Cricetulus griseus: one gene and its partner. The protein of the gene in region 1 interacts with the protein of each later gene in a pairwise test. Links are inferred from orthologs where the notes say so. Each region holds a gene or a part of one and is shown on either strand. Other genes may lie near its edges.

What was found. The genes of interacting proteins can lie anywhere in the genome.
Region 2: the proteins of Psma3 (region 1) and Aurkb interact in a two-hybrid assay, tested with the Homo sapiens proteins (2 studies listed by BioGRID and IntAct). The link is inferred for Cricetulus griseus from reciprocal best matches to the Homo sapiens genes PSMA3 and AURKB.

The regions. Positions count from the first base shown.
Region 1 is NC_048598.1:132,402,223-132,409,209, forward strand, and holds the start of Psma3 (proteasome subunit alpha type-3), read right to left. Parts: upstream 4,723-6,987; 5' UTR 4,708-4,722; coding exon 4,573-4,707; intron 4,365-4,572; coding exon 4,282-4,364; intron 1-4,281. UniProt on the Homo sapiens protein: Component of the 20S core proteasome complex involved in the proteolytic degradation of most intracellular proteins. This complex plays numerous essential roles within the cell by associating with different regulatory particles.
Region 2 is NC_048600.1:82,923,880-82,930,866, reverse strand, and holds the end of Aurkb (aurora kinase B), read right to left. Parts: intron 6,732-6,987; coding exon 6,629-6,731; intron 6,522-6,628; coding exon 6,470-6,521; intron 6,319-6,469; coding exon 6,127-6,318; intron 5,965-6,126; coding exon of another isoform or gene 5,931-5,964; coding exon 5,792-5,930; coding exon of another isoform or gene 5,779-5,791; intron 5,709-5,778; coding exon 5,560-5,708; intron 3,665-5,559; coding exon 3,490-3,664; intron 3,088-3,489; coding exon 2,926-3,087; 3' UTR 2,430-2,925; downstream 1-2,429. UniProt on the Homo sapiens protein: Serine/threonine-protein kinase component of the chromosomal passenger complex (CPC), a complex that acts as a key regulator of mitosis.

The DNA of each region.
Region 1 (6,987 bases):
TGACTCAAAAAAGAAAAGGAAATAACAAAATAAAATAAAACAAAAAAGCCCCAGAGGCCAGGCATGGTGGCACCCTGTCTCAAACAATAACAAAAAGACAGTCCTACTATATAGCCCTTGGCTGGCCTGGAACTCACAATAACCTGTCTCTCAAGTGCTGGGATTAAACGTACGTGCCATGCTACACCAGGCCCAGTGAGATCTGTCTTTTAAAAAAAAAAAAAGGTGCATAGCATACACAAAAAATGCACTAAACACAAACTAAAAAGAATGACTAATGTATTTTTCTTTTCATCTATTTTTATCAAGTTTTCTGCAATAAGTATGTACTGTTTCTAGTAAATACATAAACCAATAAAATATATGTCCTATTTCAACTGAGATCTTTTAGTTTTTTTGAGACAGGGATCCTTTGTGTAGCCCTGGCTGTCCTGGAACTCAAAAATCCATGTGTCTCTGCCTCCCAAGCACTATGATCAGAGGCGTGCACCACCACCATCAGACACAGATCAGATCTTGATCTCAAGTAAAATACACATAAATTGCATGATGTTATGTCAAGATTAAAATCTTAATGTACCTCTCTCCTGCTGGTGGGGAAGGGTACAAGAAATCCAACCAGGCTTTGCATATCCTAGGCAGATGCTCTACCACCCCACTTCATCCCTGGTCCTTTTTCTTTTTTATTTCATTAACATTGTTATTAATGCTATTAAGTAACTGTATTATTAATTTTACAAAACTTAGTTTTTTCTTTGAGTCTTAGGAACTACACTCTGCCTGACACATACTAAGCATGCACCTGCAAATCTGCAACCCTGTAGGTTCTGTCCAGCTTGTCTGTTTTGTGTGTGTGGTGCTAGGGATCAAACCCAGGGTTTTGTGCATGCTAGGCAAGCACGTTACCAGTAAACTACATTCTGGGCCCTTTCTAAGTTTTGGGTTTTTTTGTTTTGTTTTGTTACTCAACACGTTTTCTCTGTGTAACAACCTTGGCTGTTCTAGAACTCCCTGTAGACCAGGCTGGCCTTGAACTCAAGAGACCCACCTGCCTCTGCTTCCTGAGTGCTGGGATTAAAGGTGTGCAACCACCACCCAGCTCTCCTGAGGATTTTTTTTTTGTTTTTTGTTTTTGTTTTTTTAACTTCAGCTGGTTGAACCTGTAGAGCTCATGTGTAAAGTTAGCTAACTATATTTACAATTACAACCAATTTTAATAAATATTAAATATTAGTAGTATTAGTAATATTAAGTAGCAAACAGGTCAGCAATATATCATTAGGTATTTGTTTTAACAACCAATAAATTCTCCTGTCAATCTGTGATTTTTCTCTTTGTGTGGTGCTGAGGATGGGGCCTAAGAAGCTTACATGCTAGGCAGTACTCTACCACTGAACTATATTACCAACCTGCAGGCCCCATATACTGGCTATTTTATTCAAGAGCTTTGAAAAACAGTACTATTATCTCTATTTTACAAATGAAGAAGCTGAAGCAAAAACATTGTATGCCCAAGGCTGGAGAGATGGCTGGGGTTAAGAGCACCAACTGCTCTTCCAGAGGTCCTGAGTTCAATTCCCAGCACCCACATGGTGGCTCACAACCATCCGTTATGAGATCTGGTGCCCTCTTCTGGTGTGCAGATATACATGGAAGCAGAATGTTGTATACATAATAAATAAAATCTAAAAGAAATTCCCTTCCTTTAAAAAAAAAAAAAAAAAAAGACTATGCCCATCATTAAGTAATGACTGCATCAACAGTCGAACTCAGGTGTTAAGACCTCTCTTCTGTGGGTCACTGCCCTTGGGCTTCTGCCAGCTCCCATCTGACAGGGATGGGAGTGTCTGGTTAGGAATACTCCCTCAAAGACATTCAGGGATCCAGGAGAGAGGCAAAGAACTATTACTTTTAACAGATACATGTAAACATTTCTATTATTTAAGTAAACTAATATTTAAATATTGAGTTTTTACTTCTATTAAGTACTAATATAACCTATGGACTGCAGAAATAAAAGCTTTTTGAGATTCCCCAAGAGCTTTTTAAAATATAAAATATACAAAAACCTGTGCATAGTGACACATGTCTGTAATCCCAGCATTTAGAAGGCTGAAACCACAAGTTTTAAGGTCTAGGCAACATAGCAAGTCCTATGTCAGTTTTGGCTATATACTAAATATGTAAAACAAAATAAAGATATAAAAATTTGTGGGGCTGTTAAGATGGCTGATAATGGTAATGGATAAGCATTATGACCCAAGTTTAGTCCAAGCTCGACTGTCCACAACAATCCCACAAATTGTCCCCTGCTCTCTATGCTTGTGCGCGTACACTAGAACACCAACACACACACACACACACAAAACAAAAACTCATCTCGAAAAAACAAAACTTTTCCAGTTGGGTGTAGAGATGCACTCCTTTAAAAGAACTCGGGAGTAGAGGCAGGTGAGACTTTTTGAGTCTGAGGCCTAACAATCTAGTCCTTATAAGAATTTTCATGGCTAGGTTCTTCGATGAGACTAAAGAGACCAAAATATCATCTTTGCCTTTTCATATAGCCACCCAGAGCATACTATCTCTTTATTTCTTAGAGAGAGAGAGAGAATGCAGAAACCTATGGAGATCAGAGGTGCAAGATCCCCCTGAGTTTTAGGTGGTTATGAGCTGCCATGTAGGTGCTGGGAACCAAACTCAGGTCCTCTGCAAAAAACAGTACACAGTCTTAACTGCTAAGCCATCTCTCCAGTTCCCTAAGAACACTTTCACAAAACAGCATATGTAATTCTAATATAGTCATTTTTAGGCACCTACTTGTATGCCCCTAATTATTTTGGTGTTTCTTAAACTTAACAAGTATTGGTAATGGCAAAGCACTTTCCTATTATACACCCAACACAAGAAAAAAATTAATTATCCTTTGATACAGAACACAATCTTAAAATTATTAGCTTAAATGTTTTCTACCTGTTTAAACATGATACCCACTTTATGGGTGCTGAAGGTCAAATATGGGACTTAATGCATACTACACAAGCAGCAAGCACTCTACCAACTTAACTACATTCCCAACAGTTTTTCCCTTTGTTTTTTTTTTTTGTTTTGGTTTTTCAAGACAGGGTTTCTATGTGTAACACCCTAGCTGTCCTGGAACTTGCTATGTAGACCAGATTCAAGAGATCTGCCTGTCTCTGCCTCCCGAGTACTGCTGAGACTAAAGGCGTGCGCCGCCGCCACCACCACCTGGCCTGAACAGTTTTCTTAAAATATGTGTGTGTGTGCACATCAGTTATTGTCTGTGTGAGTAAATGTACAGAGGGCAGAAGAGGGCAGCAGTGGAAGCCTCAGATCTGAGTTACAGGCAGCCACTGGAAGCTAAGCTAGTTGGTGGCACTGGGATCTGCACCACCACCCTCATGATTGTGCAGCACATACTCTTAGCCACTGAGTTATCTCTGAGGTCCCAGTTATTACTTTATATAGAAAAAAAATCTTGCCAGGCATGATGGTATATACCTTTAAAGCCAGCAGCTGGAAGGCAGAGACAGACAAATCTCCTTAGGTCACCCTGACCTACATATAGAGTTCCAGACCAGCCAAGGCTACACAGTACGACTTTTTTAAAAAAAATAAAGGGGAGGCTGAAGAGATGGCTCAGCTGTTAAAAGCACTGGCTGCTCTTCCAGAGGACCCAGGTTCAATTCCCAGCACCCATATCACAGCTCACAACTGTCTGTAATTCCAAGATCTGACACCCTCACACAGACATACATTCAGATAAAATACCAATGCAAATAAAATAAAAAATTGCTTAAAAAAATAAAGGACCAAGGTTCACTTCCCAACGCCCACATGACAACTCACAACTGCCTCTAACTCCAGTTCCAGGGGACCTAACACCCGAAATACAGACATACATATGCAGGTAAAACACCAATGCATATGGAATAAAAATAAAGTAAAAGAAAAATATTCAAAAAGTTGCATTAAAAGCCAGGTGTTGGTGGTGCACGCCTTTAATCCCAGCACTCGGAAGGCAGAGGCAGGCGGATCTCTGTGAGTTTGAGACCAGCCTGGTCTACAAGAGCTAGTTCCAGGATAACCTCCAAAGCCACAGAGAAACCCTGTCTCGAAAAACCAAAAAAAAAAGTTGAAATTACTTCAGGGTATGGTATTTGTGTAAGCTAAAGCAATATACAAAATCTGACTGCCAAAACATACAAGATAAAAGATAATTCCTGTTTAAAACATTCACTCAAGTAAAACAATGTTTCTTACCTACTGTTTTCCACAGCCTTCATAGCATACTCAACTTGAAAGACTCTTCCATCAGGAGAGAACGTAGAGGCTGACAGGTCATACTGACAACAAAGAGAGCAACAGAGTTTATAGGACATGTCTTCGCCAACAACAGTCATATAATTTTTTCCAAACAGCTCAAACACCAGGAATGTTATATCCTAGTGGAAAATGCTTTGTTGCTCAGAGATAACTACACACCTTAGATGTCTCCTACTGAAAAGTAATGGGTCTAAATAACAAGAGATATGGCTCAGCTGTTAAGAGTACCTGTTTCTGTTGCAGAGGATATGGGTTGGGTTCCCAGAACTCACATGATGGTTTAGAACCATCTGTAATTCCAGTTCCAGGGGATCCAAAGCCCTCTCCTGGCCTCCATTTGGCATGTAGAGGATCCACATACATACACGTAACATAAAATATCTAAAAAGGAAGTTTAAATAATGGATACAAATCTAATTTGAGCTAATAAAAAAATTACAAAAATGAATACAAACCTTAAGGTCAGAACTTTTTTTATTTTTAAGATTTTATTATATATACAACATTCTGCTTCCATGTACATCTGCACACCAGAAGAGGGCACCAGATCTCATAACGGATGGTTGTGAGCCACCATGTGGATGCTAGGAATTGAACTCAGGACCTCTGGAAGAGCAGTTGGTGCTCTTAACCTCTGAGCCATCTCTCCAGCCCCAAGGTCAGAACTTTTTTACACAACTTTTTTTTTTTTTTTTTAAAGTATTGCTGCTGGATATGGTGGCACAGGCCTTTAATTCCAGCACTCACTCAGGAGGCAGAAGCAGCCAGATGTCTGAGTTGGAAGCCAGCCTGGTATACAAAGTGAATTCCAGCCTGAGTTCAGGGCTGTTATCGAGAAACCCTGTCTCAAAAAAAGGAGTATTGTATAAATATTAAAGTCAGATCATTTACATTTGTATCTAAGCCAGGAACCAAGGAAAGACCCTGGTTAAATAAATCATTTAGTATTCATCAACATTTAATGAGCACATACTGTGCTCATACTGTGGAAGGAATAAGCATAGCCCAAGCCAAGGAACTGGTGTCTTTTAAGTGGAGGAGGAACAAGCAAGAGTGAGTAAATCTAAAACATGCTAGAGAGCCAAACTAGGTTGGGGAAGGTAGTTTACATTTTATTCTTGATGTGAATGAGGAGGTGGTGTGATCTACTTCACATTGTTTACATTTACCTATAGTGCATGTGCCCTGGTGTACATCGAGAGGTCAGGGGACAACTTTCCAGAGTCAGCTCTCTTCCTACCATGTGGGACCTGGGAACTGAACTCAGCATTTCAGGGATTGAACTCAGCTGTTCCAAGTCTTGGTAGCAAGCACCTTTAACCTTTACCAAGTGAGCCATTTCACAGGCCCAAATTCAAGCATTTAAAAAAAAAAAAAAAAAAAAAAAAAAAAAAAAAACAACCCGGGTGTTGGTGGCGCATGCCTTTAATCCAGCTTTCGGGAGACAGAGGCAAGCGGATCTCTGTGAGTTCCAGACCAGCCTGGTCTACAAGAGCTAGTTCCAGGATAGGCTCCAAAGCCACAGAGAAACCCTGTTTCAAAAAAAAAAAAAAAAATCTGACTTGGGCTGAAACAAAAAAAATCACTCTGACTTGGGCTGAAACAAATTTAGAGGCAACAAGTGTGAGCTCACAATAGTGGCTTTGACTATACAATAAAGAAGGAACTAACCTTTGGGGACACAATTAAACATAAAAACAAAAATAAAAAAGCACTTGTAGAGCTAGGAATGGAACTCACCTAGATTTGGAACTCAGTGACTTGCCCTGGGTTGGCCTTTCCTTCTGCCCAGCAGTAGAGGTTAGAGGGGGGAAAAAAAAACCCAAATGGACAGAAATTTACAACTCTTGAGGGACACAACTCTTGAGGGACCTGAAGCCAGGAAAGAGGCCTTCAACAGTGAAACTTCCTAAGGCTTGGTTATTACTTTCATACTAAATATTCCACATGGAATATCAGATGACCATCGATGTTTGGACGGCAACCCTGACACAACTGCAAAGCAAATTTACTGTGAGGTGCATTACTAAGCACTAATCCCAACAAACGTTATCACATGACATTACTACTTCAGTACCTCGTAACCAATTAAATCATTCCAAACACCAGTAAGTAGATTTAATTCTGAGCATAGAAAAAAAGTTTTTTAAAGACGAGGTCTCTTTATGTTGTCCTGGAACCCACTGTGTAGACCAGGTTGGCCTGGAAATCAGAGATCCTCCTGCCTCTATCTCCCAAGTGCTGTGATTAAGGGTGTGCGCCACCACATCAGGCGAACATCAAAATCATGGAAATAAGGATAACCAAGAAAACCTATTACTCATTACCTCTACTGCAGATAATCAACAGATATCCGTTAAGTAGTTAACATATGGAGACAAAGGAAAGGTGGAGGAAATCACTGCACACGGGATGTGTTTAGCAAATTAAAAAGCCCAACTTGCAAATCTTCAAAACTCTTCACAAAAATCTGAGGCACTGCGGTCCCTAGATAACCCTTGCCAAAAATAATTCGTTCGGGAAAAGCAAACGAAGGAAAAGGCAAAGAACTCATGCGATCGAGCCTTTGAGGTCCTGTCACGATAGGTGTCCGGGGACTGCCTGGTGACGTGAGGCCCCAAGAGGCCCGTGAGTCAGCGGCAC
Region 2 (6,987 bases), on another chromosome or scaffold:
ATGGGGACTTAGCATTAGATTGGGAAGAGTAACGAATAGGCTTAGCAACAGCCTTTGATCTTTAGAGAGCTCAAAAGGATCCCTTTGACCAACCACTAAACAAGATGGAACCATCCCTGGCACTGGAGGTTTTACTTGGTGGCATAAGATGTCTAGTATTGTCTTCCCTACTATTTGGTGATTCCATTTAGATTCCTTTCATATATGTATAGATTTTAGGAAGCTTCTACAGATTTTTCATATAGTTGTTTATTTGGTTTTTCGAGACAGGGTTTCTCTGTGTAGCCTTGACTGTCCTGGTACTCATTCTGTAGACCAGGGTGGCCTCTGTCTCTGAAGTGCTGGGATTAAAGGTGTGTGCCACCACTGTCTGGCCTTCCTATGTTTTTAAAAATGCCATTTAGTTAGTTGCCAGCCCTCCCGTTTCTCCATAACATATTCTATTTCCTGTTCTTAGAGATCCTCTCCTAACCCCTAGCTGTTTACAAGGTACCTAACCTTTGTGCTTATTCAAACTGTAGCACACATCAAAAGCTTAAAAGCTAACATCCACAAATAAGAGAAAACAATCTTTGTCTTTTTGGGCCTGGGTTACCCCACTCGGAATAATTTTTTTCCTAGTTCTATTCATTCACCTGTAGTGTCGTAGTGTAAAAATATCACATTTCCGTTATCCATTCATCAGTTGATGGACATCTAGGCTGTTTTTAATTCTATTATGAATGGTCATGGATGAGTAAGTGTCCCTGTAGTAGGATGTAGAGTCCTTTGGGTATATGCCCAAGAGTGATATAGCAGGATCTTGAGGTGCATCCATCTCCAGCTTCCTGAGGAACTGTTCTACTGATTTCCATAGTGGCTGTACAAGTTTGCGCTCCCACCAGCAAGGAATAAGTGCTTTCCTTTCCCCTGATCCTCAACAGCATGTGCTGCTATTTGTTTTATTGATTTTTGTTGTTGTTGTTTTTGTTTTTCAAAAGACAGGGTTTCTCTGTGGCTTTGGAGGCTGTCCTGGAACTAGCTCTCATAGACCAGGCTGGTCTCGAACTCCTCCTGCCTCTGCCTCCTTAGTGCTGGGATTAAAGGTGTGCACCACCAATGCCTGGCTTGTTTTATTGACCTTGTTAGCTAGTTTTTCCACCAATTTGTTTTGAGTACTGTTGCCTTTCCAGAGTGGCAGAATGTAGTGCCTTCACGTGAGGCTGAGCTACCATCACTTCATACATCTTAGTCTTCTGCCTACTCCACCTGTCTCCTATAGCAAACATTCCACAACAGACAGTAGTTCCATTACATAACTCCTTTCCTGTGCTCCCCTTCCCACTGTCTGCTCTTCTAAGCAATATGGCTAAGTCTTGTGGCCCACACTCCTGCAGCCCAGCTTGCCTTGAACTCAAGATGTTTCTGCCTGAGCCTCCCTAGTGCTAGGATTCAGGCATGAGGCACCATACACCTGACCCCCACCCCCAACAAGCTTTATTTCTTGTATGTTCAGAGCAGACACATAATTTTTTATCCACAAGATATAGCTGATTATGAGATGTAGGCAACTAGCAGCCCAGCAGCCCAAGTTAAATCCCTGGGTCCCACATGGTAGAAAAGGAGGGAACTTGTCCTTCAACTTCCACGTAAGAGCCATGGTGTGAGAGCAAACATGGAACACACTCAAAATAAATGAACAATTTTTTTTGAGTTGGTTCTCTGCTCCTCTCTGTTCCAGATGTTCTCATAGTTTCACCACCACCAACTGATTAAATGTTTATTTAAAAAGAACTACATAATAGTCCATATATAGGATGGTGCTATGGTTTGAACCTTTGATGTCCCCAAACAGTTATGTTCTGGGGTTTGATTACTAGCTGATGGGTTTGGGGCAAGTGACTGGCTCCTGAGGACTTTGACCAAATTGTGGATTTTCTTAAAATTACAATTTATTAGAATATAATAAAGAAATAGACTTAATTGTGGCATTTTCAAACATGTATACCATTACACTTTTTTAAATTCATGTGCATGTGTACAGCCACAAAAAGGTCAGATCCCATGGTTGTGAATTTGCCTAACCTGAGTTCTTTGGAACCAAATCTGAGTTCTTAAGTGCTGAGTCCAGCCCCATAATGCTTTGTTCTATTCACCCCACTCCTCCCTAGCTTCCTCTGTCCCCTTATGCAAAACTTTCAAATTTAAGTTGGACACAGCAGCCCAACAGGAGGAAGAGAGTCCCATGAGCAGGCAAAGGTTTTACTTGCATCACTGTGTGTCCTGGAACGTGATTTGTAGTCCAAGATGTCCCAGACTTATGGTGATTCTCCTGACTCAGCCCCCTGAGTGCATGGACCAACATGCCAAGCTAACTTGGGGTTTTTGGCTTCATAATGTTACCAAAGTATAACCACTACTTTTTACTCTCAAAACAGTATTCAAAAACATGAAATATTTAAGACTTTATTATAAAATATACTTTGTGCTACATAATTTTTCTGAATTTTAAGATAGGCTAGACTAAACATGTTTCACGGATTAATGCATTTTTGACTTACGGTATTTTAAAACATTTGGCAAATTGAAAGAAATCAGACTCTATGGCTCCTTAAAATTCTGACTGTGTATATGTGTGCCACATCCATGCCTAGTGCTACGGATGGTTGTAAGCACCATGTGGTATACTGTGAACTGAACTCCTGGTTCTCTGGAAAAACAGCCCTGCTCAGCCATCTCTCCAGTACTGTGTTTTTTTTGTTGTTGTTTTATATATGTTTTGTCTGCACATATGTGCACCACATGTGTGCATGGTTTTGCCTGTGGAGGTCAGAAGACAGGTCAGATTCCTTAGAACGGGATTTGGGGATGGTTGTGAGCAACCCTCCCTCCCCCCAACACATACACAAATATACAAACAACAGAGACAAAAATGAAGAAAGCAGTCTAAAGGGCAGAGGGAGACAGTACCCTCCTAGAGTGGGCCCGCACCCAAGGGTGAGCTGCGACCTGGGCCAGGGGCAGCCGATCTGAGGGTTTATGCTTGAGCAGCTTGGAGATGAGGTCCTGGGCCCCCTCAGGTACAGAAGGAGGGAACTTCAGGTCCACCTGCAGAGGAAGAAAAGAGAAAGGTTTCACCTGTGTTACCCTGACTACATTTTCCTTGACAACTCAAGAGATTTTTGCAACCCCCAAAGGAGGCATTATTAACAATGGATGGCTGCTGAGGGAAAGAAAGGAAGTCATTTTCCTTTGGGAGTGTGGGTACAGGTAGGTTGCTGGCAGCACTAGCTGGTCTCAGGGGGCTATAAAAAGAAAAAGGACATGACGGTGGGTGGGGCATGTGTTGGGAAAGGAGTCGGGGTGGGTGATCAAGGTGCATTTGTATGAAGTTGTCAGAGAATAAGTACTGCTCATGAAATAGGGAGACTGTGCAGAGCCCTATAAATCTACCCTGCCCACCCCAGACCCTGGCTTCCACAGCACACAGAGCCCAGGCAGGTATCCTACCTTGACAATCCGACGGTATGTCTCACTGTGGCTAGGGCTCTCAAAGGGTGGGTTCCCCACCATCAGTTCATAGCAGAGCACCCCGATGCACCACAGGTCTACCATTTCGTTATGCATGCGCCCCTCAATCATCTCTGGGGGCAGATAGTCCAGGGTGCCACACATGGTCTTCCTCCTGATGGGATGAGAAGTGGGTAGGGCCTCGAAAAAATCAGCCTCTCTTTTCTCTTTACTTGATAGTAGGCAGCTCAGAGATCCCAGGAAGGTCTGGCCACACTAATGGATTATCTTAATTTTTTGTTTTTTTGAGACAGAGTTTCTTTGTGTATAGCTTTGGAGACTGTCCTGGAGACTGTCCTGGAACTAACTCTGTAGATCAGGCTGGCCTCAAACTCAGAGATCTGCCTGCCTCTGCCTCCCAAGTGCTGGGACTAAAGGTGTGCATCACCACCGCCCAGCTATCTTAATCTCAATAAGTAAAAAATAAATAAAAACAATCAGAGATGAGGGCAATGCTCATTTCAAAGAAGAAACAGAAAACATCTCTAATATCCACCGAATATACACTACTTAAATAAGTCGGTTTATATTTTTACTGTGCAATACCAAGAAGTGTTAAACAATGATCAGGTCACCAGATACTGTGATATACACCTCTAATCCCAATCCTTGGCAAGATTTTTGTTTTGTTAATATTGATACAGGTTCTCTCTATAATACAGCCTTGGCTGGCCTGGAACTCACTAAGTAGACCAGACTGGACTTAACCTCAGAGAGATCCACCTTCCATTGCCTCACTAGGGCTGGACTGAAAGGAATAAGCCACTACCTCTGGCTTAATTGGACATTTGAGGTAAATTGTCAGTCTGAGGCCAGGTAGGCCTACAGGGTAAAATCTTGTCTAAAAACTGTAAAGAGAGCCGGGCGTTGGTGGTGCATGCCTTTAATCCCAGCACTTGGGAGGCAGAGGCAGGCGGATCTCTGTGAGTTCGAGGCCAGCGTGGTCTCCAGCTTGAGTGCCAGGATAGGCTCCAAAGCTACACAGAGAAACCCTGTCTCAAAAAACCAAAAAAAAAAAAGCCCAAACAAACAAACAAACAAAACTGTGAAGAGGAGGTCTGGAGAGATTTGTCGGTGGTTAAGAGCACTGATTGCAGGACCAAGGTTCAATTCCCAGCACCCACATGGCAGCTTACAATTATCTGTAACTCCAAGATCTGACACCCTCACACAGACATGCATGCAGACAAAACACCAATGCACATAAATTATTAAAAAGAAGAGGCCAAGCAATAGTAAGCACACCTTTAATCCCAGCACTCAGGAAGAAGCAGAGGCGGGTGGATCTCTTTGAGTTTGAGGCCGCCAGCCTGGTCTACAAAGTGAGTTCCAGTATAGCCAGGGCTACTCAGAGAAACGCTGTCTCAAAAAAAACCAAACAGTTAAAAAACTGGGAAGCGGTTCTGAGGGATGTGGCTCAGTGAAAGAGCATTTTCCTAACATAGGCAATGCCCTGGGTTCCATCCTCAACACTAAAACCAAACCAAATCAAATAAAATGTGACCTTGGTAACCAGGCATGTCAGCGTATGCCTGTGATACCAGATACTCATTTGCACCTGGGCCTTTAAAAACAGCCCGGGGAACTCGGTGAGGCCGTATCTCCTTAGAATGAACAGGGTCGGCAGGGGTAAACTTGACATGGTGATGCTTGCCTGTAACTCAGCTATGTTTGGAGGGTGATCAGAAATTTAAGGTTATCTTTGGCTATATAGTGAGTTTGAAGTCATTCTGTGCTACATAGGACCCTGTTTCAATCAATCAATCAATCAATCAATCAATCAATCAATCAATCATGTGGGAGTTTCCACAATGATATGGTAAGAGAGGGCCCACTATATTTCATAGAAAGAGTAGAAAATTTAGAGCATGAATTATTGTGTTACCTATTTTTGTAAAGACTTTGCTACATCTATATTGCATGGAGACAAACCCCATCTCAAGGAACAACTTGCAGAAGAGCTGTATATCACAGCCTCACACGAGGGACAGCCCCCGAGCCCCACCATACCTCAGGGAGGGAGCATGCACAGACCAGCCAAAGTCCGCAATCTTCAGTTCGCCCTGGAGACCTAACAGCAGGTTCTCAGGTTTTATGTCCCTGTGAATCACCTTCTTCTTGTGGCAGTACATCAGTGCATCCGACAGCTCCTCCATGATCTACGAGAGTTCATAGCAGAAGGTCAAACAGGCCTCCACTTCCAGCAATAGCCACAGCCTCATGCCCCACACCGGATCCTGACCGTGGCTGTCCGCTGCTCATCGAAAGTTCTGTTCTTCTGTAGTTCCTTGTAGAGTTCCCCCCTCGGGGCATATTCCAGTATCAAGTAGATCCTACGCCGGTCATAGAAGTAGTTGTAGAGCCGAAGAATGTTGGGATGTCTGGGGCAAAGAGAAAGGAAGCTTCGGCTTGCATCTAGGAGACAGGACAGATGGCAAAGACCTAGATCAGGGTGGAAGTATAAGGAAGAGCTGGGTAGGTGGTCCAGATGGTGTAAGACAGGGCTGGGGATGCAGAAATAGGAATGTGGGGTGATGAGGTTGGCAGAGGGGCCAGGGCCAGGGGTGAGTAGCATACTGCAGGTGTGCCTGGATTTCGATCTCTCGGCGCAGCTGGTGCTCCACTCCCTCCTTCTCAATCTGAGACTTGAAGAGGATCTTGAGTGCCACGATGAAATGACTTTTTTTCTCCCGAGCCAAGTACACATTTCCAAATTTGCCTTTGCCCAGAGGACGCCCAATCTCAAAGTCGTCAATAGTGAGGGACCGCCTGATTAATAAAGTGGGGGGAAGGCAGCTAGCTCAGGGCTGGCTGGCTCAGATTCTAAGGTGTTTGATTTCTCTCTATCTGTGTTCCCTTTAATTTCCCCATTTCAGCCTCACCACAGTTTAAGTTCCCCGACTTACTCTGGGGTACTTACAAGGCATTGGAGCCCCGACTGACATTTTCAGCCAACTTCTGGCCAGGGGCAGCTAAGGAGAGAGCAGGCATGTTGAGTTCCTCTTTGACATTCTCGCCTTATACCCTCTCTTGGATTCTGGTCCCCTTGGGCCAGTCCTCTCCCCATTGTCCCAGGTACCTGTGGACTGGCCATTGGACCGGTTCATGAGGGCAAGTGCAGATGTCACAGCAGACTCCTTCTGCAGGACTCTCTGGGGCAGGGTGTTCAGGCCTGAATGAGACTGAGGAAAAAAGGGAAGCTCTGAGTGTGTTCTTGTCCCTGTGGTCTAGCTGGAATGTGCTATAAGCACCGTTTCAGCTACTTGTTAAAGAGTCCATCCATCCACTCACAGTTCAAACAATAGTGATACACCATGGTTTGACTACCTAGCCCCAGAGGTCTGCTCATTGCTCCAGAAGAAATGGGTTATTAAGAAACAACCTGAGGCTGGGCGTTGGTGGCGCATGCCTTTAATCCCAGCACTCAGGAGGCAGAGG